3 linked regions of the Struthio camelus genome follow. The protein of the gene in region 1 interacts with the protein of each later gene in a biochemical or structural test. Links are inferred from orthologs where the notes say so. Each region holds a gene or a part of one and is shown in the gene's direction. Other genes may lie near its edges.

Region 1 (7,547 bases):
TCAGGGCAAAAAGCCCAGGTTACATGGATCTGAGGGAACTACGGCGATATGCTTCGTATAATCCCACTTGCATAATTCATAAATATTAAGACCCAAAAGCAAAATTAAAATAATCTTAGCCTGACTTCTTGTATAATGCAGGTCACCCGACTTACTGAATTGATGCATTTAATATATTCTCTTATATAATGAAATGGGTAAGAATACCACAATTAAGCTATGCAACTTGGGTACTTGAAAATATTAAGGCATTTAACTTAGTCGTATCAAGACAGAAGTAGACCTTAAAGAGATAAAACAGAGATATGCCCTTTAGTACAGTTTAGTTCAGTGCTTAAAACATCTACATGTTGCCTGTGATTGGGAGAAATTTGCCTTAGCCATATCATTGTATTACTATGCATTAAGGAATCTTGTATGCGTTCCAAAACATCTTGTACTGGCCCTGTCAAAGACGAGAACTGTGATTAAATGGACTGCTGGCACTTTCTCCATTCTGAACCTTCCTCTTTTGCTTTGATTTTCTTTTCTGCCTAGCTTTTAGTTCTAAAAGCAATGTATGCAGTGGACTACCATGAAAATGCAGTTAAGATAGAGACCAGTGAGATAGATCCCCGAGACAGCTGTTGGTCTTCACGTCTGCCTCCTTGCTAACAGTGTATTGGCATGGCTTTTGGGTTATACACCTAATCTTTGCAGTGCAGCAGCTAGCAAACTCAGACTGCTAATATGCACTAAAATAAATGGGGATGCCAAGTATAATATTCCTCCAGCGAACTGCTCCAGTAGACCTTCCCTCCGTGGACATAATGTTTTTATCTTCCTCTAAAAATATGCTTGTCTAATGCAGATATGAGTCAACTAAGCAGTTTTAAAAAACAGACTTAGAACTTCCCTAACAGATTGCAATTTACAAGTTACTGTTTCCAAGCACCCTTCTCCCTCTAGAATACTATAGGCAAGTGATTTGTTGTATATTACCAGAATCAAGAACTAATCTTATGACCAAACTGTTGTCACAATTTAAGAAAACCAAAATAGAGAAATTATATAAACAACCCCCCCTCCAGCTACTTAAGACATCAAAATGCTACCTGCTTTATAGAGTAAAAATAAAAAGTAAAGTTAAAAGAAATGATCACTGAGGGTATCTTTGTATGTAGTTTCCCAATTGCTTTGTCAGCATTAGATCCAGTGGACTTAAAGAAATAGGTTGTTGGTTTTGATAAATTTCTCAGAGGACAGGTGTTCATCTTCAAAAAATATTCTGTTAGCAAATGTTGTCAGTCTTGCCAAAAAAGAAGAAACTAGACTTCTTTTGCTGCTTCTGATTTTAGAATGTTATCAGTGACACTGACTTCCAGGGGCCTTTGACCTTCACTGCGGTTAAATCAGACAATTCATGTATTGCATATACTTACCCTGTATATAGAGTGATCCTTTTTAAAACCATTCTAATTCTGCATGAGTTACTAAATAAACTGTGACATATCCCCTAAATACACTCTACAGTAAGTTCAAAAATATTGGAAATACTGAGAAAAAATTACTTTGCTCCCCTTTTATTTTTACATAAAAATGTAACTCTTTCAAACGCCCTTTGTATCATAGCATTCCCTACAGAAATATCTTTACATACAAAAAAACAGTTTTTAAGCAATATTTTCTAATATCGCTACTACTGTCAGTAAATGTGAGATATAGCTTGTGAGGTGACTTGAATGCATATCGGGGGCAAATTATTTGATAGTGACTCATATTGAAATCAAATTTAAAAGTATGTCATGTCCTTAAAATCCAGGAAGTGAGTAAGCTGCACTGGCAATTAACTGAATATATGCCTCTATCACTTGGCAGTATCTGAACAACAGTACTATATGAAAGATGAAATGTGCCAAAAAAGGATCTATATGGATCAATGAACTGAGATTGTTTTTGTTTAGAGAAAATTCATGTGTATATATATATATATATATTTAAGTACTTTAAATTTGCTGTTGGAGACAGGTCCTAAGTCAGAAAACACGTACCAAACTGGGAATTTATGTAATGTTATTTTAGCTCTTTTGAAGTTGGGCAGACAAGCTCCTCTATGAAATCAATAAAGTCAGACCTTTGCAGAGGGCATCTCCAGATACATGTCTGAATTAGAGCAGATGAATCATCCATCCCCTGGAGATGCCTGGTTTTGTTGACCTACTCTGGTGAAGCCGGTATACTATCCCCAGGCAATCATTCCCACCTCTTCCCTTGCCTGGGATCTAGTTGTAAGGTGAGTCAGACCAGTAAGATGATCCAATAGGGGACTTTTCTGCAGTGAAGTAGTTTTCAGTTGGATCAGCTGATTATGCAGCCACAAATGAACTGGATCAAATTCCAAGTCTAATACAAGAAATGTGGCGGCAGCACATAGTTGTGGGCACAGGGAGAGCACTACTGCTTTATTCTGTATCAGCTGCAGTTACACTGAATTAGATGCAATTTGAGACACTTCGCTTAGATTAGATTCTTTACTTTTAGATAGCTAAATTAGGCAGCGTGAGTCCCATTTCAAATACAGTAGGAAATAATACAAACATTTTGAACTACATTCAATAAAGGAAGCTTGACACACCTTTTTTATTAGTATGCTAATTATACTACTCATACATGAAGTAGAAAAGCTGGTTTCAATAGCCTTCACTCTCTGAGAAGGCAAAACCCACACTTGACAGAAGAGTGCTTGAACCATCACCCATTGTTGTACTATGGCAGAACGCAAAAGCCATGGGCCAAGGGAAAGAGGAATATACGACATATTGCAGAGTACCCAAGGGAGTCGTGTACTTTACACCAGGGAAGTAGAGAGCGTGTTCAAGCGGGAAAATAATGTTACAGAAACAAATCATGGGCTAAGACTAAAGAGCCTTAAGATGCTCTCTCGGTCCTGTCTGCCCTTCTCATAACATCGAATAACCTTGAATCGGTGGCTTGCCTGGAAAGTAGAGCAGGGTTGAGATTCTTTCTGGCTGAAGAAGATCTAAAGCCCAAGTTCCTTGCGTCTTACATGCTTGTTCTTACTGCAGGACTACTATATAAAGCTGTGCCTGTTTTAGAAAGATTGTTACAATTTCATTTTGAAACCCATCAGAGGGAAGGGATGAAAAAGGAGAGGTTAAAACAAGCTCTGAGAACTTCCACCACGTGTCTTTTGGGGTGGACATAATGGGGGGATGATGAACCAAGGGGAGGTAAAGCATCCTCTGGGAATATCTCGCTAAGGTCTTTGAACTGAGGCAGAATCCAGAAAAGGGGAGTACCAAATTCCTTAAAAGTAGTAATTCTTAAGCAGCAGATCGATGCTGAGCTGCATCAACTGCTGAAAACAGTTGTTGCGGATAGGGAAAGAAGCAGAACTTGAGGTCCTGGAAAATTGTTAAGTCAAAAAAGGAAGCGCCTAATGACTGTAGGTCCCTGCGGGAAGAGGCTTGATATGTAGTTTTCATTCAATGTGTCAAAAGTCTGCCTAATGCATGCAATTACATTCATTATTGAGCATTGTTATTGCTATTGATTTCATCTCGTGTTTCTGCACTGCAGACACCAGTGGTGTTTTTTTCAATCCCTGTTTGTGTGTTTGTGATGGATATGCTGATACTGCTCTTCCAGATGTTCTGACTTTTCCCTCACACACTGGCCCAACCTTTTTGCTTAACTTGTTACCCAGTTAGTCCAGAGTAATTAAATAGTACTAAAAGCCCTTAAGGATAATGACTGACTTTTATGTACCAGGAACAGGCAGAACGTGTCATAGTCTATGAGTCAAACTCTGCTCACGTGAGAAGTTCTGTCGACGCTGGTGAAGATATTTGTATGAAGTGAAGAAGCAAGACCGTGCAACCCAAGGCCATGGGGTACTAAAGCTCTACGGACAGCTGTTAGTTCCTAATCTCAGCACGCTCTGACCTTTGGTAAGTACGTGGTCAGTCTTGCGCACGAGCGCAATGGTCCCATGCCACCTTGTGAAACACTATCACAACCACCAGCTTGCAACTTTGTAAGACGTCACTTATTTCAAAAGCCTGCTGACATTAGCAATGCAAACACCAGGTCAGCACGACGTGCAGGAAAACTCTGAAATTTTTCTACAGAGATCAGGCTTGCCTGGGCACGACGCTGGCTCACCTACCAACCGGGGAGGCATGACAGAGCTCAGCAGAAACAACAACCCCCCCCCAAAAAAAAACAAACAGAAACCCCCCAAACCCCATTTGACTCGCCCTGTCTCCCCGAAACGGCCCTGCCGGGGGCAGCGGGGCCGGGACGAGGCGGCGCGGAGGGTACGGGAGGCGCCGGCGCCCGCCGCGAGGTGCGCGGCCGGCCGGGCCCCACCTGCCGAGGGCGGCGGGGCCGCGCAAAGCGCCGGGGCCGGGGCCGCCCCCGCCGGGCCGCGGGGCGGCGGCAGCAGTGGCGGCGGCGGGGCCGGCCCCGCTTTCCCAGCATGCCGCGCGGGGCGGGCTGGCTCCCCGGGCCTGCGAGGAGGCGGCGGAGGTACCCCGGGCGGGAGGAGGAGGAGGAGGAGGAGGAGCAGGAGCTGCCGCCGCCGCCGCCGCCGCTGCAGCCCGCTGCCGGGAGGGGAGCGGGGGCCCGCGCCCGCGCCGCCGCGCCCCGCGATGCCGCTCTTCGCCACCAACCCCTTCGACCAGGATGTGGGTGAGTGGCGCCCCCGGGGTAGCCCCGCGCCTGGCCCTGCCCCGGCCCCGGCCCCTGCTCCGCCCGGGGCCCCCGCCCCCCCACGCCGGCCGGCCGGCCGGGGCTGCCGCCGCTGCCCAGCCCCCGCGCCGCGCCCCGCTGCCGGCAGCCCCGGCCGGCGCCCGCCGCCCGCTCGCACGCCCGCCCGCCTCCCGCGTGTGGCGGCGCGGCCGGGCCGGGCCGGCGGCAGCGAGCAGGGCCGGGCTGGGCCGGGCCGGGCCGCCGCGGGGCCCGGGCAGCGGCGGCGGCGGCTGCGGCCTGTGGGTGTCGGCGCGGGGCGGCCTGGGCTAACGCGGCCCTGTGCGCTCTGCGGGCCGCCTGGTGCCTCCGGTGAGACGGGCTGGGCTGCCCAGAAGTTGCGTTGTGCCGTGATAAAACAGGACTGGCAGGAAATGCTCATGGCGGTGCCTTACCGAAGGATGCCAAGTAAAAGCCCCATCTACAGTTGTTTCAAAAGCAAACATGGAAGAATTGGCAAAGGGTTGCCTGTTTACTGCTTTAAAATTAATTCCACGGAAGGGTTTTTTTTTTCCTCCCTCTTTCAAGTGAAACTTGACATGCTGTGATCGGGTTTCCTCCCCACCGTACTTCTTCCAGGGCCAAACCAGATGGAGACAAAATATCTGGTTTCTACTTGACAACAATTGTGCTTAATGCACATGTATCTGGATCAAAAGTAAAATAACATATAAGCAGGTTTAAATTTATTTTGTCCGTCTGATGTGAGATTGTGCAGTATGGCTGACCTCCTACCTGATGCTTGCTTCTGTTTTATTGTAAATGTAACTAGAAACTTTTTCTGGGGAACATTATAACATTGAGGTGCGTTTTCTCTTATTTGGATAAATCCTCCTCCCACATACTTATATCCTTTCAATAATGTAACACTGTATATGTTTCTTGGAACAATTTCATTGGTAGCCTTATAATTTTGTATCTGCTGTACCTTTTAATTACAAATATGTGATTCATTTCATAATATTTATTTTACTTTAGAAGCCAGGGCTCCAGTTTAATTCTTTTAGCTCCTCAAAACCCCCTCAAAATAAAAATGTTTTAAAAGCATGCATCTTTTGGGGGAAGCTTATGCATAAGTGAAGATGAAACTGAAATTTTTTATTTATTTTAGCAGGAATTCTGAATCTTGCATCTTAGTAAAGCACGTACTTAAAGCTCATTTTTCTTCCAATTTTGGATGGTAAAGCACACTGCAATCTTTTCTGGTGAAGGCTGTCTTTTAGTTTATACCTTTCTTGGTGGTAAAGTCAATAATTTCTTATTCTGAAAAGTAATATATCTTTTTATCCTAATGTTTCTGCTGTCTTCTAGTGTAATTTGTCAGCTGAGAAAGAGGAAGAGGTTGCATGACTTGCCAATTTTCTGTGAACCATTAGAGAATTGACATATTGGTAAGGTTATCAGTGAGAATGGTTTGAATTAATAAACCAGACTAAAAAATGGTAGCTGAAGATCTGGTAAATGTTTACTCTTTTAATTTCTAAGGCAGCTGTCTAGCAGCGGTGAAGATCAGACTCTTTGAGTGGGTTTAGATAGAGCTAAATCTGGTAGATCATATTTGTCAGCATTGTAAGTTTTGTAATGCAGGGTAGTAGCACCCAACTGTTACTTGAATGGGTTGTTTACTATTTTCTGGTGGCAGAGAATGCCAGTGCTGTAAGCTTAGCTACGGTGCTTGCCTAGCCCAGTCACCAATAGACCTGACGTTTTTCAAAAGCGTTATTCTGTGTATCGTATGAGCACAAGTAAATAACTACTTAGTCCCATGTTGTTCTTGGAAGAGAAGATAGTGAGCAAATGCGTTGATTTTCCCCGAAGAATGAATACAGCTTTCTTCCAGCTATATTGCAGCCCCTTTTCTTAGGGGTCCTGAGGGAGACCTAAGGAGCTGCAGACTGTTTGATTGGTGGCAGCCTCCTTTCAGAGGCTTGCTGCCTTCTTTCATCGCTTGACTGTGTTTGTGCCAGGGAGATAGGAGCGATGAAGTCTCCAGGAAAGAGTCCCCAGGCCCTTCTTCCTCAAGGCCCCTTGGGAACGTGCTGTTATCTCGACGAACAACTTGGCAGGCTTCATAAGATACATCAGCTGTAGAGCAGGCTCTTGTGTTCTCGGAAAACTTCAAAAAGTTGTCCTGCGGCGGCGGTGTTTTCAATTCCTTTCTCAGAATGAAAGTTTGGGTGCTCTGCTTTTGCTCTTGCTCAGCAAGAAAGTTTTCCTATGAGAATCAAGATTCCTGAAGCAGGAAGGCAGTCAAAAACTGTTCTTAATCTCGTTGTATGAAGCTGGACATTGGTGTAGATGTTAGTATTTTTACTGTGATAGCTGTGTATTCTCAGCTACTGGACAATTAGCACTGTGTAATAACTGGAAATGACTTTGGAATTGCTTAGGACAATGGATTGCTAGGAACTCATCTGGGACTAAATTGGTTTGAGGAGTGTAAGTGTCTCTAGGTTCAGAAGGAGAAATTTCTTGGCCTCTCTGGCCAGTCATCAGCATTTGCCCAGTCCTGTTAGCATGCTGATGGTATGGAAGCTGGTCATCCGTGATAGCTTACCATTTACTGTCAGCTTTGTACAGAGATTTTGAAGGAGGGGGGGGAATACCTCTTCTGTAGATGTGGCTGGCAAAAGAGTGTTGTTAAAGACTGCGGTTAAACTAACACTATTAACGAATGTTGTAAAGGTGCCCAGAGATTTGAGATGGTAAGCCATTGTCATCTTCAAAGAGTACACATCTCTGGATGAAGCCCAAATAATTTGTTTGTGATCTGAACCCTCTTTCTACCTTATTTAGGA
Region 2 (7,199 bases), on another chromosome or scaffold:
AAGTTTGTGTGCCTGTAAGGGTAGGGGGGTGTGCGTGCTCAAAAGGGTGTGTGTGGTCACGTGGGGGCTGTGCATGCACACGGGTGTATGCGTGAGTGTGTGCTCACATGCGTGCTTGTGTGTGCACGGGGGGTGTGTGTGAATAGAGGTTTATGTGTGTGTTCACAGGGGTGTGCATGCACGTGGGGGTGCTCGCGTGGGGGCACGTGCTCACGGGTGGGTGGGTGTGCGTGCACGGGGTGGGTGTGCGTGCATACAGGAGTGTGTGTGCACAGGAGTGTGTGTGCACGCAGGTATGTGGGTTGGTGCACAGGGGTGTATGCGCACATGGTGTATGCGCAGGGACTCAGGGCTGGGTGGGCACTCGTGGGGTGTGCTTGCACACCGGTGTGTGCATGCACGCAGAGGCCTGGGGGGGTGTGCGCATGGGGGGGGTGTGTGCACAGGGGTCTGCGTGTGCTCGTGCACAGGGGGGTGTGCATGCACATAGGAGTTTGTGCGTGTGTGTGCGCAGGGGTTTGTGTGTGTGTGCACATGGGTGCGTGTGTGCACATGGGTAGTGTGTGTGTGCACAGGGGCCTGCGTGTGCTCGTGCACATGGGGGTGTGCATGCACACAGGGGGCTGTGTGTGTGTGTGTGTGTGTGCGCTTGTGCACAGGGGGGTGTGCATGCACACAGGGGTTTGCGTGTGTGTGAGCATGCACATGGGTAGTGTGTGTGTGCACAGGGGTCTGCGTGTGCTCGTGCACATGGGGGTGTGCATGCACACAGGCGGCTGTGTGTGTGTGTGCGCTTGTGCACAGGGGTGTGTGCATGCACACTGGGGTTTGTGTGTGTGTGTGCACATGGGTGCGTGCGTGTGTGCACATGGGTAGTGTGTGTGTGCACAGGGGCCTGCGTGTGCTCGTGCACATGGGGGTGTGCATGCACGCAAGTGTTTGCGTGGGGGGGTGCGTGCGTACAGGGGTGTGTGTGTGTGCGTGTGTGTGTGTGCACACATGGGGGGTGTGCACAGGGGTGTGCGTATGCTTGTGCCCATGGGCGTGTGCATGCACACAAGTGTTTGCGTGCACGCATGGGGGGGGGTGCGTGCGTACAGTCGTGTGCGTGGGTGTGTGTGCACCCGTGCACGCGGGGGGCGCGTGATTGTGCACACAGCGCTGGCTTTGGGGGGGGGGGGGGCGCTCGCTCTCCCGGAGAGGAGGGGCGGGGGGGGGGGGGGGGGGCGCTGTGCGTGCACGCACCCGGGCCGCGTGTGTGCGCATGCACGGCTGCCTGCGCGCGGGGGCGCGCGTGTGCGTGTCCGCCCTCCCCAACGGAACCTCCACGCCGCGCGGGTGGGTGGCTGCGCGCCCCCGCGTGCGTGTCCGCGGCCCGCCCCGCCCGCGCCGCGCCGCTCGGGGGCGGGCGGAGGCGGCCGCGCCGCGCCGCGGGGCTGCGCTCTGCAGCGCCGAGCCGAGCCGGGCCGAGCCGAGCCGGGACAGCCGAGCCGAGCCGGGCCGGACCGGGACAGCCGAGCCGAGCCGGGACAGCCGAGCCGAGCCGAGCCGGGCCGAGCCGGGACAGCCGAGCCGAGCCGAGCCGGACCGGGACAGCCGAGCCGAGCCGAGCCGAGCCGAGCCGGGACAGCCGAGCCGGGCCGAGCCGGGACAGCGGCGCCGAGCGGAGCCGAGCCGAGCCGGGCCGAGCCGGGACAGCGGCGCCGAGCGGAGCCGAGCGGAGCCGAACCGAGCGGAGCCGAGCCGAGCCGATCCGGACCGGGACAGCCGAGCGGAGCCGAGCGGAGCCGAGCGGAGCGGAGCCGAACCGAGCCGAGCCGGACCGGGCCAGCCGAGCGGAGCGGAGCCGGACCGGGCGCAGCTGCCGCCCAGTAATTTTCCAAGCTCGGGCCGGCGCTGCCCTGCGAGCGGCCGCGATCCGCGGGGGCCATGGGAGACAAAGGCACCCGGTGAGTGCGGGGGTCGGGGGCCGGGGGGGGCGGCGGGGAGGCGCCGGCAGGGGCCGCGCCGCTTTCCCACGCCGCCGCTTATGCGCAGGGGAAACTGAGGCACGGCGACGCGGGGTCGCACGGTGCCGGCGGCCGCGGTCAAGGCGGAAACGGCTGCGCTTCCCTCGAGCGGGGCTGCGGGCTGCCCTGGTCCCCGTGTGCCCCCCCTAGGTCCCCCCCCACCCCGCGTCGGTGGCGCTCGGGGCGCGCTGCCCGCCGTGGGAACGGCGGCGCCGGCCGCCCCTCCCCGTGCGCTCGGGCCCGCAGCCTGCTGCTCCGAGCAGCCGCCTCGCCTGCCACATCTGGAGGCTGTCGGCGTGCTGGAGGCGGCAGCTCTCGCCTGCGCGCAAACCCCCCTTTCCTGAAACGCAGCTGCAGCTGGGGAGGGGCGAGGGATGCAGCTGGCAGGGCTGCTGCAAGAGCCGCTTTTGTCGCAGCCCGGGGGCCTCATCCGGCAGCCCCGAGGGGCGGCGGGGAGCAGAGGCGGGAGCCCCCGGGCTGGGCGTGAGGGCAGCGCCCGCTCTCGCGGCGTCGAGCACGCGAGCCGCGGGGCAGGCCGCCGCCGCGCCTTTCGGGAGCGCGTCGGGGGGGTTGCGCGACCCCGATGGGGCGTCGCGCGTCCCGGGAGCGCTGGGCCGAGCCCGGTGCCCGCTGGGCGCTGCGCCTAGAGGCATCGGCGACGCGGACGTTATTACTCTCTTTCACCCGGACCCGGCGCCTGGACGTTGCTGGGGTGGGGGCACACGAGCCGTCGCTGCTGAGAAACGCTTTTGCTTTTGGGTTCGGGTGGGAACCAGGAGCAACCGGGCCCCGTTGTCCTGGTCGAGGGGTGTTTTGGGCCTGGAGGTCTGGCGGGGGGGGGGACGTGGGGGAGCCGTCGTGCCCGTTGTCACCCTGCGGGGCTTCGAGCATCCTGCGGATGGGAGACCCTGCCTGGCCTGGGCCCTGGCTAGGGGCGCGCGTCGATGCGGCGAACGCGCGTGCGGGGGCGCCCGTCGCGCACCGCCGGCGTCGGCTGCCCGGGCGGCCGGGCCCCGAGGCCGAGGTGGGCAGGGAGGGTGGGCCCCGCTTTTGCAAGGGTTTGGGCCCCGCTTTTGCAAGGGTTTGGCCAACCTCTTTGCAGAACCTTCCGGAAAGGCTGCATGGATGTGGGGTCGCAGGACGTGATTTGGGGGCCGGATGCGCCCGGCTCTGGCTGTCTCCCCTTGCCCTGGCATCAGTTTTTTTCCGGAAAAAAAGTATGTTTTAGCCTCTAGAGCGTGAGAACAGCCCCTTCGCCCCCCACGGTGGCCGGCCAGCGGCTCGCGGGGGTCCCCGCTGCCGGCCTTCGAAGGAGCCCGCCGGGGATGGGGCGAACATCCGCATCGCGTTGCCCCGGGGAGCGCCGGTGCGAGGGTTTCCCGGGAGCCGCGGGGCGTCTGCCGGAGCAGACGAGGGCGCGCGGGGATTCGCGTGACAGATCTCTTCTCATTCACCCGGGGGGGGGGGGCTTTGGTTCCCCCCCCCCCCCCCAAAAAGCCCGGGAGCCGGCGCGGAGGGCGGCCGGGTCGGCTGCGGCTTTGCACGGCGAGGTCGCGGGCTTGCAGAGCCCCGGTTTGCTTTTAGACTCCGGAAACACCCGAAAAACCTCATTTCTTCCAATTCCTTCGTGGGCTTGCAGGGCCGCAGAGCCGCGCGCTGGGCCGCCTCCGTTGCGGGGGGGGGGGGGGAACAGCAAGTTTTCAGCTGGCTCGGGCGGCGGGGCCGCAGCGTTTCGCACGCGCGGCCGCGCTGAACGTCGCCCGTGCCGCCGGCGTGAGGGTTTCCCTGCCCGCGGGCGGCGGGTGCCCCCGGGGCCGGCGCGGGCGTCAGCGCACCGCGTTTCCCAGCCGCCTGCCGAGCGCCCTTCAAAGCCCTGCGCTGCGGGAAGCGTCCGCAGGCGGAGTGAGAGCCGTGCGCTCGCCGGCGCCGCCGCGTCGCCCCCTTATTTACGGCTTCTCCGAGGGTGCGACCCCCCCCCCCCCCCCAAATCCCGGCCTGGATGCTGCCGACAGAGCCGAGGCGGCCGCGGGAACGGGCCGGGGAGGGGGGGCGCCGAGGCGGGCCGAGCTGTCCGGGCTGCGGCGGGGAGAGAGGCAGCGCTGGCCGCTGGCCCGGGGGGAGACTCGTGCTTCCTGGCCTTTGTTTGCAGAACAAACTCTCCTAATAACAGCAGGATGCAGACATCCCGGATCCGAGAGCCAAGTCGCTTCCTTGCCAAGGAGGCCCGGAGCGAGGAGCTGCTTGGGCCCGGCCGGGCGATGTTGTCGACGAGCTGGTCGCGGGAAACGTGTTGCGACGGGGTGGGCGTCAGGCGGGGCAGGCGAGCGAAGGGCAGCGCGGGAAGGGCCGGCAGCGAGGGGGTCCTGGCCGCTGCTCCGCGCGGGCAGCTGCGGATGTGCGGCTGCAGGTGTGCCCGGGCCGAGGGCCAGCGCGGTTCCCGCGGTGGCGGGGGTGGTTCCCGCGGTGGCGGCAGTGGTTCCCGTGGTGGTGGCAGCGGTTCCCGTGGTCGCAGTGGTGGTTCCCGTGGTCGCGCTGGTTCTTGCAGTGGCAGCAGTTCCCATGGTGGCGGCGGTGGCAGTTCCCGCGGCGGCGGCGGTTCCCGCGGTCGTGGCAGTTCCCGTGCTGGCGGCGGTGGCAGTTCCCGCGGCGGCAGTGGTTCCCGCGGTCATGGCAGTTCCCATGGTGGCGGTGGCGGCGGTTCCCGCGGTGGCGGCGGTTCCCGCGGTCGTGGCAGTTCCCATGGTGGCGGCGGTGGCGGTTCCCGCGGTCGTGGCAGTTCCCGTGGTGGCGGCGGTGGTTCCCGCGGCGGTTCCTGCGCGCCGCCCTGCTCGGCCCCGTTTCCCGTGGCAGGAGCGCGGCCACCAGCGCCGATAATTAATAGGGAGGAGGAAATAGCGGGGTGGGAAGCGCTGGCCGATTCGATTCACCCAGCCTCGGGCAGGCACGTGGCCGTCGACCCGGCGCCCGAGCCGGGGGATTTCTCCTTTCCTCCCGGCTCGGCCGAGCGTCGGGCGCGGGAAACCCCCGGAGGAGAGGGATCGCCGGCTTTTGGCGCGGGGCGACGGCGTCCGGGACGCGGGGGAGCGACGAGCCGCGTGGCCCCGCGCGCGGCGGCGGCTCTTCCCGCGCGCCCGGCCGGATGCTGGCCTGACCGCGGAGCGCGCGGTGCGGTTGCTCGACGCGTTGTCCCCCGAGGTCCCCTCTCGGGCCGCGGAGCTAATGGGATCGAGCCGGCAGCCACATTAACATGAGGCCTGGTGAAACTCGCTCCTCTGCCCGGCGTTCAGGGGAAATCGATGGCGTTGCTTTCCTGCTCCAGCTTCGCCACGCTTTAAAAAAATAAAAGGACCCGGGGTGGGGGGCCGATAGCGGGGGCGCCTGGCGTTTGCAGCCGCCTCTCACGTCCCCCAGGGATGGGGACGGAGAGGGGCAATGCCAGGCGCCCGCGGCCACGCTGACGTCCCTCGTGCAGCTTAACCCGGGGTTCGGTTACGAAACGGGGCAGCTGAGCTGCAAGAGCAGGTCTTTGTGCGCCTGTCGAAGGGGCGGCCGAGGTCACTGCGGCCTCCGCCGGTGACCGGAGCCGGCGGCCCGCGCGCCGTGCTGGGCGCTGCCTGCGGCCTCGCTGCAGCCTGGCTCCGGGCTGGCGCTCGGCGCTGCCCCGTCTCTGCCCAGGCTCCCTGGGCGCCTTGCGGAGGCTCGGGCCGTCTCGGCGCGCCCTGCGAGGCAGAAACCTGCCCTTTCCGGGCCCTCAGGCAGCGCTTTGGGCAGCGCGGCCTTTGCGCGGCAGCTTGCGCGGCACCTGGTGCAACAGGGCCTTTGCACGGCACCTTGCGCGGCACCTGGTGCAACAGGGCCTTTGCACGGCACCTTGCACGGCACCTTGCACGGCACCTTGCGCAGCAGGGCCTTTGCACGGCACCTTGCACGGCACCTTGCGCAGCAGGGCCTTTGCACGGCACCTTGCACGGCACCTTGCACGGCACCTTGCGCAGCAGGGCCTTTGCACGGCACCTTGCACGGCACCTTGCGCAGCAGCGGTGCCGGGCAGCCCCTGGGCATGCCGCGGCGCTGGCGGGGGCCCCGCGCTCCAGGACCCCCCCTCGGCGAGAGCTCTGCCCGGCGGCGGCTCGCTGGGCTGCCGTCGCGCCCCTCGGACTGGGCGCGCGCCCAGCCGTGCCGCGCTGGGGGGGGGGGAGCGCGGGGCCGCCAGCCCCCTGTTTCGCCGACGTTTCTAGGAGAGGCTGCGCGGCGGGGGGAGCTGGCCCGGGCACCTCGCTCCTCCGTGCCTCGGTTTCCCCGCTAAGGCGCCTTCCCCTCTCCTCTTTTGCAGGGTGTTCAAGAAAGCCAGCCCCAACGGGAAGGTGAGCGGGGGCCGCGGGGGTCCGGGGGGGCGCTGGGGTCCCACCGCTGCTGGAGCCTGGACCGCACGGGGGCTGCCGGGGCGGTGGGGGGGAGATGGGGGGTGATGGGGGGGGTCTGCATTTCTCTGCCGTCCTCGATTTTTCTTTGCGCTCGGAGCTGGACGTCGCTCCGAGACCCTTTCTGGGCTGTCGGACATGTACGGCCGGGGAGGGAGGGAGGGAGGGAGGGAAGGAAAGGAGGAGAAGGAGGGAGGGATGGACGAAGGGAAGCACAGAGGAAAGGAAGGGAGAGAGCGAGGGAGGGAGAAGGGAAGGGAAGAGGAAGAGGAGGGAAGAAGGGAAAGAGAAAGAAGAAGGGAGGAAGGGAGAGAGGGAGGGAAGGAGGGAGGGAGATGGGAAGGAGGGAGGAAGGCAAGGAGGGAGATGGAAAGGAAAGAGGAAGGAAGGGAGAAAAGAGGGAGGGCGGAAGGAAGGGAAGGAGGAAGGAAGATGGGAAGGAGGGAGGAAGGAGCAGCCGCTTCGCCGGGCGGCAGATCCCTCCGGGAAGGGTTCGCTCCCGCTCTCCGTCCCCGCGGGAGCCTCCGGGCAGGCGGAGGAAAAACCCCGGCCCGGTCCGGAGGGCGCGATGGCGGGCTGCTGCCGGGCTGGGGGCTAACGAGCTCCGGGCGGGATTGCCGGGGCCGGGCGGCGGGACGCAAACCGGATTTGCGCGACTCGCCCCCTGGCCTGAGCCCCGCAGCCGTGTGACGAGCGCGTGGGGTCTCTGCACGCGCCGCCAACCTGCCCGATGCCGGACACCCAGCGCCTCGAAAAACGCCTAAATCTG
Region 3 (7,708 bases), on another chromosome or scaffold:
CCAGCGCGCCGGCCGGGCCGTGGGGCAACGCAGCTCCGCGGCGGCGGCGGCGGCCCCCGCCTCGCCCCGGCCGGCCTCCGCGCCCCGGCGGCGCCCCCGCGCCCGGCGCGGCCCCTCCGCCGCGCAGGCCGCGCTCGGCGCCCCGCGGCGCGGCCCAGGCGGGCGGCGGCGCGGCCGGCGCCCCCCGCGCGGCGGGGTCCCCGGAAGGCCGGCCAGCGCGCCCGCTCTCCCCGACAGGAAATCCTGGCTGGGCTGGGCGCTGCGGAGGGAGCCGCGGCGCCGGGTTCCGGGGGAAGTGGAATTATTTTTTACCAGCGAAGAGATCAACTTCCACATCCGGTAACAGGGCCCTATACAAAGGCGCAGACTGACCTGGAAAAGCTTGGCCGGCCCGGGGGGGTGGGGGAGAGACGGGGCGCGGGGATGGGGGCCTTACCGTGCTGCCGGCCCGGCCGCCGCCGCCCGCGACAACAGCCAGGGGCGCCGGAGGCCGCCGCTCATCGGCGCCCAAAAGCCCCACACAAAAGTCCCCGCTGCGCCTGGCGGAGGGACACGGCGGGCGGAGGGGAGGGGCGCGCCGAGCCCAGCGCTGCCCCGCCGCCAGCGGGGCCGGGCTGCGCGGGGCCGCGCGGGGCCGCCGCGCCGGCAGCGCTTGGCGGGGCGCCGGCACTTACCATGGGGCGCAGGTATTATCTTATTACACAAATATCCCCGACAAAAGGGGCTCGGCGGAGGGATACGGCCTCGGCGCCGCCTGCCGCGCATGCGCGGCGGCGCCGGGAAAGGCGGGGGAAGCGGCGGCTGGAGGCGCCCGCCATGTTCTGTGGCGCTTCCCGCCCGGCGGGGGGCAGGGCGCTGGCCGCCTGCCGCCGGCCCTGACGGGGCTGCGGCGGGTGGCCGCGAGCTGTCACGGGGCCACGGGGGAGGGCGGGAGCCTCCCTGCGAGCAGTTTACGAAAGAGGGAAGGGGGGGCCCTGCCAGTCCTTAAAAGGGGTCCTGTTAAGGCTCCCTTTTGCCGCAGGGGCAGCTTTGACTGCCCTGTGGCTGCTGGGGCTCTGCCTGTGCTCCCGGGCCCTGCTGCCCTGGCTGACCTGTCTGAGCAAGGTTTTTAGCCACGCTTTGGGGTCATAAAGACAGGACCTGGTGTGGGTGACAAGTCGCAAGTGATCCTAAACCATCACTGCCCCTGCCTGTGCCAAACAGCGCTGGCCTTGACCTCAAACTCACGTCGATCCTGATAACCTCAGTGCACGAAATGTTTTTCTGAGATTTCTTTCAACCAAGCTGCAAAAAGCTCGAGCTGGGATTCCCCACAGAACTATTGTGTCAGGCAGCCTCCAGTACTGCTGTAAAGGGTAGATCCCCTGACCTACATCCTTCAGGAAAGGGATCAGTCACAGAACTCTCCTTTAGTTGTTTTTGGAGATGGTCAGGCCACCTAGATAATTAGGGGAATATTTGTCACAACGATGTGCTCATAGCCATTATTTTTTGCCCTTGACTTCCCTAAATGTCTTTAAAGAAAATGCAGATAACGAGCTTGCAAAGAACTAACGTTGCCTCAGAAATGCTACAGGACTGAATCCTCTACTCACCACTGGAACTGATCCGTTTAGTGCGGGACAGACTGTCCCACACCAAGTTCAGAAACAAGTTGACTTTTCCTGCTCCTACATGGGAGGGAGAACTGAGGCCTCCTGTCTGAGCGTACGGGCTGTGCTCACGCTGCTGCCCGCTGTGTCCACAGGACTCCGTCCAGTTCTCGTGGACTTCTTGCTTTGGGTTAGGTTAACGGGACGAATTCTCCACACGCTTTTTGGAAAGGCAGTTAAATCCTCCTTTATAGGTCACCTCGCTCTGGGACCTGTTGACATGTCCGAGAGGCGGTTTACTTATTTTTCTAGGACTGATCAGCCAGAAGGGGGCACTAAAAACAAGTTGAAACCTCGTTCTTGCAGCTTTTGCCATCAGAGTAAAGAAACTTTAGCTCCAAAATTCATTACATCTCTTTTCCATTATTGATAAGTGTTTTGTGCCTCTAAACAAAAGCATTTCCCCTGGCATATTACGAGTTGTCATTTACGCAGTAGCAGTTGATTATACAGAAAACGTTACTATGTCCTCACAGGTGTGCAGCAACCAGCAGGAATTTTTTGTGGTCTTGGCTGCAGTAGTATGGAAAAAATGAAATTATCTGTATCACAGAAAATCTTTCATAGAGTTAGGAATGCAGTATACATTTCGTTAAAGTTCCATTAACACCGTATGTGAGTTTTCATTATCATGGGTACAACGTCCATCTTTGAAATAGTAATCTCTAATGGTATTTTCATTTGACAGAATTCATCAAAAGTACATTTAAGAGAGAGACATTTGATGTCTAATATAGGCAAGTCAAAACACAGTTTGCATCTGTGAAGTATGTTGTTTCTTTTCCTTTATTTTATCCAGTCATGTGAGAATAATTTTTAGGTCTTGTTAACCAAATAATCTAACAAACACATTCTGATTTCTGCTGTTTTAAATTCCTTTGTTTATTTGTTTGGTACTGCTACACAGTAACATATGTGCTGATAGGAAAATGTGTTTCAACCTAAGGCAACACCTAAGGCAGCATGTTATAACACAGTCAGCATAGTAGCATGTTCTAACAAGTTCTTGAATAAGGTAAAACTAATTGCATAGGCAGGTCCTCCATGATACCTTTCTATATATGGTTTGGTTTTGCCCGTACAAGTAAGACCAAAAGACCTTCTGACACAATTCCTTCATATAAGTTAAATATTAAAAGGGACACTGAGCCCATTTTGGACAGCAGCTAGTATGATACTCAGCATTAATTTGCACGCTTAGGACGCAGTCTTTGACATCAGGGAACTTAAATCTTTTCTTGTTGCTATCATAACTTTCTTGCATGACTTCCTACCGATCTCTCCTAAAACAATTGGAGCAGTTCTGAAAAAAGTATTGTACAAGACCATAGTGTTATTAATAGCATTCAATCCTGTTGAATGTTGTTAGAATATTTCAACTCACTTTGATATTAATCTCTATGAATGCATAATATAGGAGAAGGCATAGAGCTGTACTTAACTTGTCCCAGGAGCTTTTGCATATCTGGTCTGCAAAGTAGAGATGGAGGATATTATTTGAGCCTTTCATGATACCTGATACCAACCAGCATTACAGTACCATGAAGTATTGTGATACGATTCAGCCTTCTGGACAATTACTCAATAGAGTTTTGTAGAGTTTTGGAGGGTTACATGAAGACAAGCATCCTTCTCCTTCTGTCCATCTTCGTTAACTTCAGTTTCCCAGCCCACCTGCTCTTCCTGAGGGAGAGGGGGATCTCCCCACCAGCTTCATTCTATGCTGGATCCTGCAGCACAAAACGGTGTTAGCACCCACTCTTCTCTCCCCACCTCTCTGAGCACAGATGCTCTTCCCTGGCCCTGTTCTGCCCCAGCACTTTGCAGGAAAGACCACAGCCCACCTCCATCATCTCTGCCCCTCCGCTGCTGAAGGAAAGACGCAGTGCAGATCGCACCGCCCAGGGCTTGGCGGCAGTGCTGAGGGGGTGCACAGCACTAACCTCACAGATGCTGCAATAGTATCCGCAGCTAATATTTCGTTATTGTGGATCTTTAAAATCATACTTACAGTATCAGTATGTAACCCATTGTTATGGCAAAATGGTATGTTGTGGATGCCGTATATGTGCACACTTCACACAAAGGATTACTTTGCCAGTCTCTGCAAGCATTAAGTGATCTGAGCTTGAGCATGCTTCAAGGATACACTATTAAAAGGCATGCTGAAACAAGAAACGTAAACGTGTGAAATACTGGTAACAGGCCATCTTCTCTAGTCTACAAGGTAGACTGAAAAAAAAAAAAACCAATAAATGGCCAAGGGAAACTGCTCCAGTGCACAAGATCTTTCCATTGGCAAAATCACAGAATCACAGAATGGTTGAGGTCGGGAGGGACCTCTGGAGATCACCTAGTCCAACCCCCCTGCTCAAGCAGGGTCACCTCGAGCACGTTGTCCAGCATCGCGTCCAGGCGGGTTTTGATTATCTCCAGGGAAGGAGACTCCACCACCTCTCTGGGCTACCTGGTCCAGTGTTCAGCCACCCTCACAGGAAAGAAGTTTTTCCTCGTGTTCAGACGGAACTTCCTGTGTTTCAGTTTGTGCCCGTTGCCGCTTGTCCTGTTGCTGGGCACCAGTGAGAAGGGTCTGGCCCCATCCTCTTAACACCTTCCCTTTAGATCCTTGCACACATTGATCAGATCGCAAAAACGGAGCAGCAGATTGCAGTATCTTCGTTACATTCCCCCACCGCTAGGCAGGTAGGGGCAAGACGGGTAACGTGGCGGGACACCGCGTCGTCCTCCTGCCTGCGTGAGATCTCGACGACCCGACCCGCCCCACCGACCGCCACGGGAACCAGCCGCGGCAGCACCCCCTCCCCTCGCTGCTCCCAGCGTTTCAAACCCCGCGGCACGGTCAGGCCGGCACACGCTTGCCGCCCCTGAGGTAGGCGTGAGGTGCGGCCGCCGTCGCGCTCCCCTGCCCCGCCCCGCCCCGCCCCCGGCCGCTCTGGCGGCGCCGCCGCCGATCCCCCCGCCCGCGCAGGGCGGCGGAGAGTCCCCGCCCCCGGGGGGAGCGGCGGCCCGGGGCGGGCGCTGCCGCCGAGTTCCGCCTCCGCAGCCATGGCCGCGTAGCGTCTCCTCGGCCGCCGCGCTCGGACATGGCCTGCCGCGGGCCGGCGGGCTGAGGCAGCGCGATCCCGCCGCGGTGAGTGCGGGAGGAGTGCGGAGGCCGGGCGGGAGGCGGGCGGCCGGGGGGGCGCCCTTGCGGGGGAGCCCCGGGCCCGGCGCCGCCGCGCGGAGCGGAGCCGGGGGCGGCCGAGGGCGCGCCGCGCTGCGCGGAGGCCCGGCGGGTGCCGGCGCTGCCGCGAGCCCTGCGGCCCGGCCGCGCCGCGGTGACCTTGGGCAGCCCGCAGCCCCCGGGGAAGAGCGGGCGGGGCGGGAGCGGTGCCCGCGCCGAGGGCCGCGGCGCCGGAGAAGCCCTGGCCGTGGCCTGGCGCCGGGCCGCGGCGCCCGTTACCGCGGGCCTGGCGCGGCGCAGGGCTGCCAGCCGGCTTTAACCTGTTCGTAACCGTGCAGGAGCGTTAAACCTCGCCTTCCCCTCCCCCGCTTTCCATTACCTACGCTGCTCGTGCACGTTGGGCGGATTTCAAGTAGCTTTTTAATCTAAATAAAGTGACGCTGCTTTTTTTTTTCTTTTAAAAACGTAGATTGCTTAACTCTCAAACTTCCCCTATAAAACCTAACCTTTTAAAATAACTTCGTCGTGAACTACCCTCCTCCTCCCCACCCCGCAGAAGTCAGTGTTAGTTGAACTGTTGACTGTTGGATCAGCAAACGCTGTCAGAAACGATCTTGCTACGACGCTATGAGAGGGGTCCCAAAGCTTTGCCGCGGAGGTCGTTCGTTTCAAAACGGTACGTGGCCCAAGACAGACCCACGCTGTGCAACTGCTACGATGACTGACAGCACCCAGCAAACAGGCGTAAGTTTAGGTGCTCCGGGGCAGCGTGCTGGCCGCGCTAGGAGGGGCCCCAGCGATTATAATCTGCCTCTGCGCATTAAGTTGTAGGACCGAGGTCTGTAGCTTTAACAGTACGAGAGCCTGCAAGAAATGCATATGGCTCACAGAGATAAATGTACTGATTGAATTTTAAGATGCAGTCATGTTTAAGTGCTGTATCTCTAGGTTAATACTGATATTAAGAAAACCAACCCCCTGTGTACAGAATACAAGTAATAAAACTTAATTGCAAAAGAACTGAAAAACTTCATGCCTGTGAGAAAGCCACTTCTTTGCTGAAGTCTTGGACACAAAAATAAGTGCAATACTTTATTACATACCTGAATTGATGGGTGCACAGTACTTACCATGTCAGTTCAGACCGCCTTAGCGTGTGCTACTTGCAACATAACTGCTTCTGTGCGTTGTTCTGGCTATGGTCATTCCACTTACAGGTTACTCATATCCTTAATAAAACAGTCATAATAATTAGATGTAGCAAAACCTGTTATCAAGAGGTATGTTTCTCTGTCAGTGTAAAACTATCCATTTTAAGTATTTTGAATGGCCATCAATATCCACGCATGATTTCCCTTGTATTTTTTGGATATCCACCTTATTTTCAGTGCTCTTAAGTATAAAAAAGGAGATGGAGACAATGCTTCAGCCATGGTTTAGGATAAATAGATCCAGACTTTGATCTTCATTTTCAGGAAGAAGGTTGGTAAACATGAAACAGGTCATTCCCACCTCCTCACAGAGTTGATTAATAGTAGATTTAGGTATTATGACTTGAATCACTTCTTGCGTTTACGGTTTTATGATCCAGTTTTCTCCTCTTGCTGGGGAGGGAACTATTCTCTTTCCCTTGTGGATGTATGAAAGAGCCACACGTATTATTTGGTGGGTTCACTTACGCCTCGGTTTTGCCGTTGTATTGCTACGTTGATCAGAAGCGACGGGGAAATGGAACGCTCGCAAAAGCGAGCGTAACCTAATCAACGCAGACTGGACCAGCAACAGTTTCTCCTGATTAAATTGATATGAAATTCCTGATCAAAAGTACAGTTCAGTTGCTACTCCTCTAGTGGAAACAAACACAGATGCAGTATGTACTTCACAGTAGTTGGTCTTTCTCCGTGCACTTTGCTGCTGTCTGTTTACTACTCCTGAACTTCATTTGTGCAATTTATTTTGCTAGAGGAAGTATTGAGACCAATAAAATTAGGAATGGGATATATGCAAAAACTTAGGTTCAAAATCAGCTGCTTATATGTATATATAAAGGAGCAGACTTTGATTCTGAAATCCTAAAGTCTTCCCAACACCTACTCAATTCTGACAGGGAACAGAGCTCATTCATTTGAGGTAGCAAATGCTAAAGGGTAAAGGCTAGCAGGCCAATAACAAGTTTCTATTACATGGAAATGAATTGTCAGTAAATAGCTACAGAACTTGACTTCAAAACAATAATCAGAATAGAATGTCTGATGACAGTAAGATAAAAAGATGAGACCCACAGTGGATAAAAGGAAGTGAGAGAGTAGTTGGAAAAAACTTTTGGAAAGTAAAAGGAGAAGTGAGAGTAGTTAGCAAAAGTTTCTATTGAATCTTAGAAGCAAGGAGGAGTAAGTGCAGTGAATGAAGAAACTCGCGTCCGAGTGCGAAAGTGAGCAGTTCTTCTGGATTTCAGAAGATGATGATTCTGGTGCCTGGCCCTTACCCATCAGATGTTTCTTGTGTCAAATACAGACAGTTTGTTTCATGAACTGGTTTTTCTCGCACCGATTTCTATAAGATTACTAGCAGTAAGGCGGCAGCAAACTGCAGTTCTTTAAGAAGTGGCTAGAGACTGGTATGAGGTGAGGAGGAGGGAATCTGGGCTTATGCTAAGAGACAAGGAAGAACTTGTTGATGAACTAGAATGGATGTTAGCTGCCATAGGGCACCCAGCCTATGGCTGTACGCTTGCTCAGAACATACAGCAACAGAACGATTTACTACTGCTTAGGAGGAGAGCGAGGGAGAGAAGTGGGAGGAGGGGGGCTCATGCTGTTCTTGAATAAGTTAGCCTATTACAGTTCTCAGGTTTTGTTGTTGTTTTTTCCTT

Evidence for each region.
Region 2: the proteins of STAM (region 1) and ARRB1 form a complex in vitro, tested with the Homo sapiens proteins (2 studies listed by BioGRID). The link is inferred for Struthio camelus from reciprocal best matches to the Homo sapiens genes STAM and ARRB1.
Region 3: the proteins of STAM (region 1) and USP8 form a complex in vitro, tested with the Homo sapiens proteins (2 studies listed by BioGRID). The link is inferred for Struthio camelus from reciprocal best matches to the Homo sapiens genes STAM and USP8.

Annotation. Positions count from the first base shown.
Region 1 is NC_090943.1:23,830,095-23,837,641, reverse strand, and holds the start of STAM (signal transducing adapter molecule 1), read left to right. Parts: upstream 1-4,547; 5' UTR 4,548-4,652; coding exon 4,653-4,692; intron 4,693-5,114; exon of another isoform or gene 5,115-5,123; coding exon of another isoform or gene 5,124-5,157; intron 5,158-7,547. UniProt on the Homo sapiens protein: Involved in intracellular signal transduction mediated by cytokines and growth factors. Upon IL-2 and GM-CSL stimulation, it plays a role in signaling leading to DNA synthesis and MYC induction. May also play a role in T-cell development.
Region 2 is NC_090942.1:223,716,387-223,723,585, reverse strand, and holds the start of ARRB1 (beta-arrestin-1), read left to right. Parts: upstream 1-4,140; 5' UTR 4,141-4,183; coding exon 4,184-4,416; intron 4,417-6,342; coding exon 6,343-6,373; intron 6,374-7,199. UniProt on the Homo sapiens protein: Functions in regulating agonist-mediated G-protein coupled receptor (GPCR) signaling by mediating both receptor desensitization and resensitization processes.
Region 3 is NC_090953.1:12,457,643-12,465,350, forward strand, and holds the start of USP8 (ubiquitin carboxyl-terminal hydrolase 8), read left to right. Parts: upstream 1-4,637; 5' UTR 4,638-4,803; intron 4,804-5,305; exon of another isoform or gene 5,306-5,580; intron 5,581-7,708. Other genes in the region: GABPB1 (GA-binding protein subunit beta-1), read right to left, coding at 675-677. UniProt on the Homo sapiens protein: Hydrolase that can remove conjugated ubiquitin from proteins and therefore plays an important regulatory role at the level of protein turnover by preventing degradation. Converts both 'Lys-48' an 'Lys-63'-linked ubiquitin chains.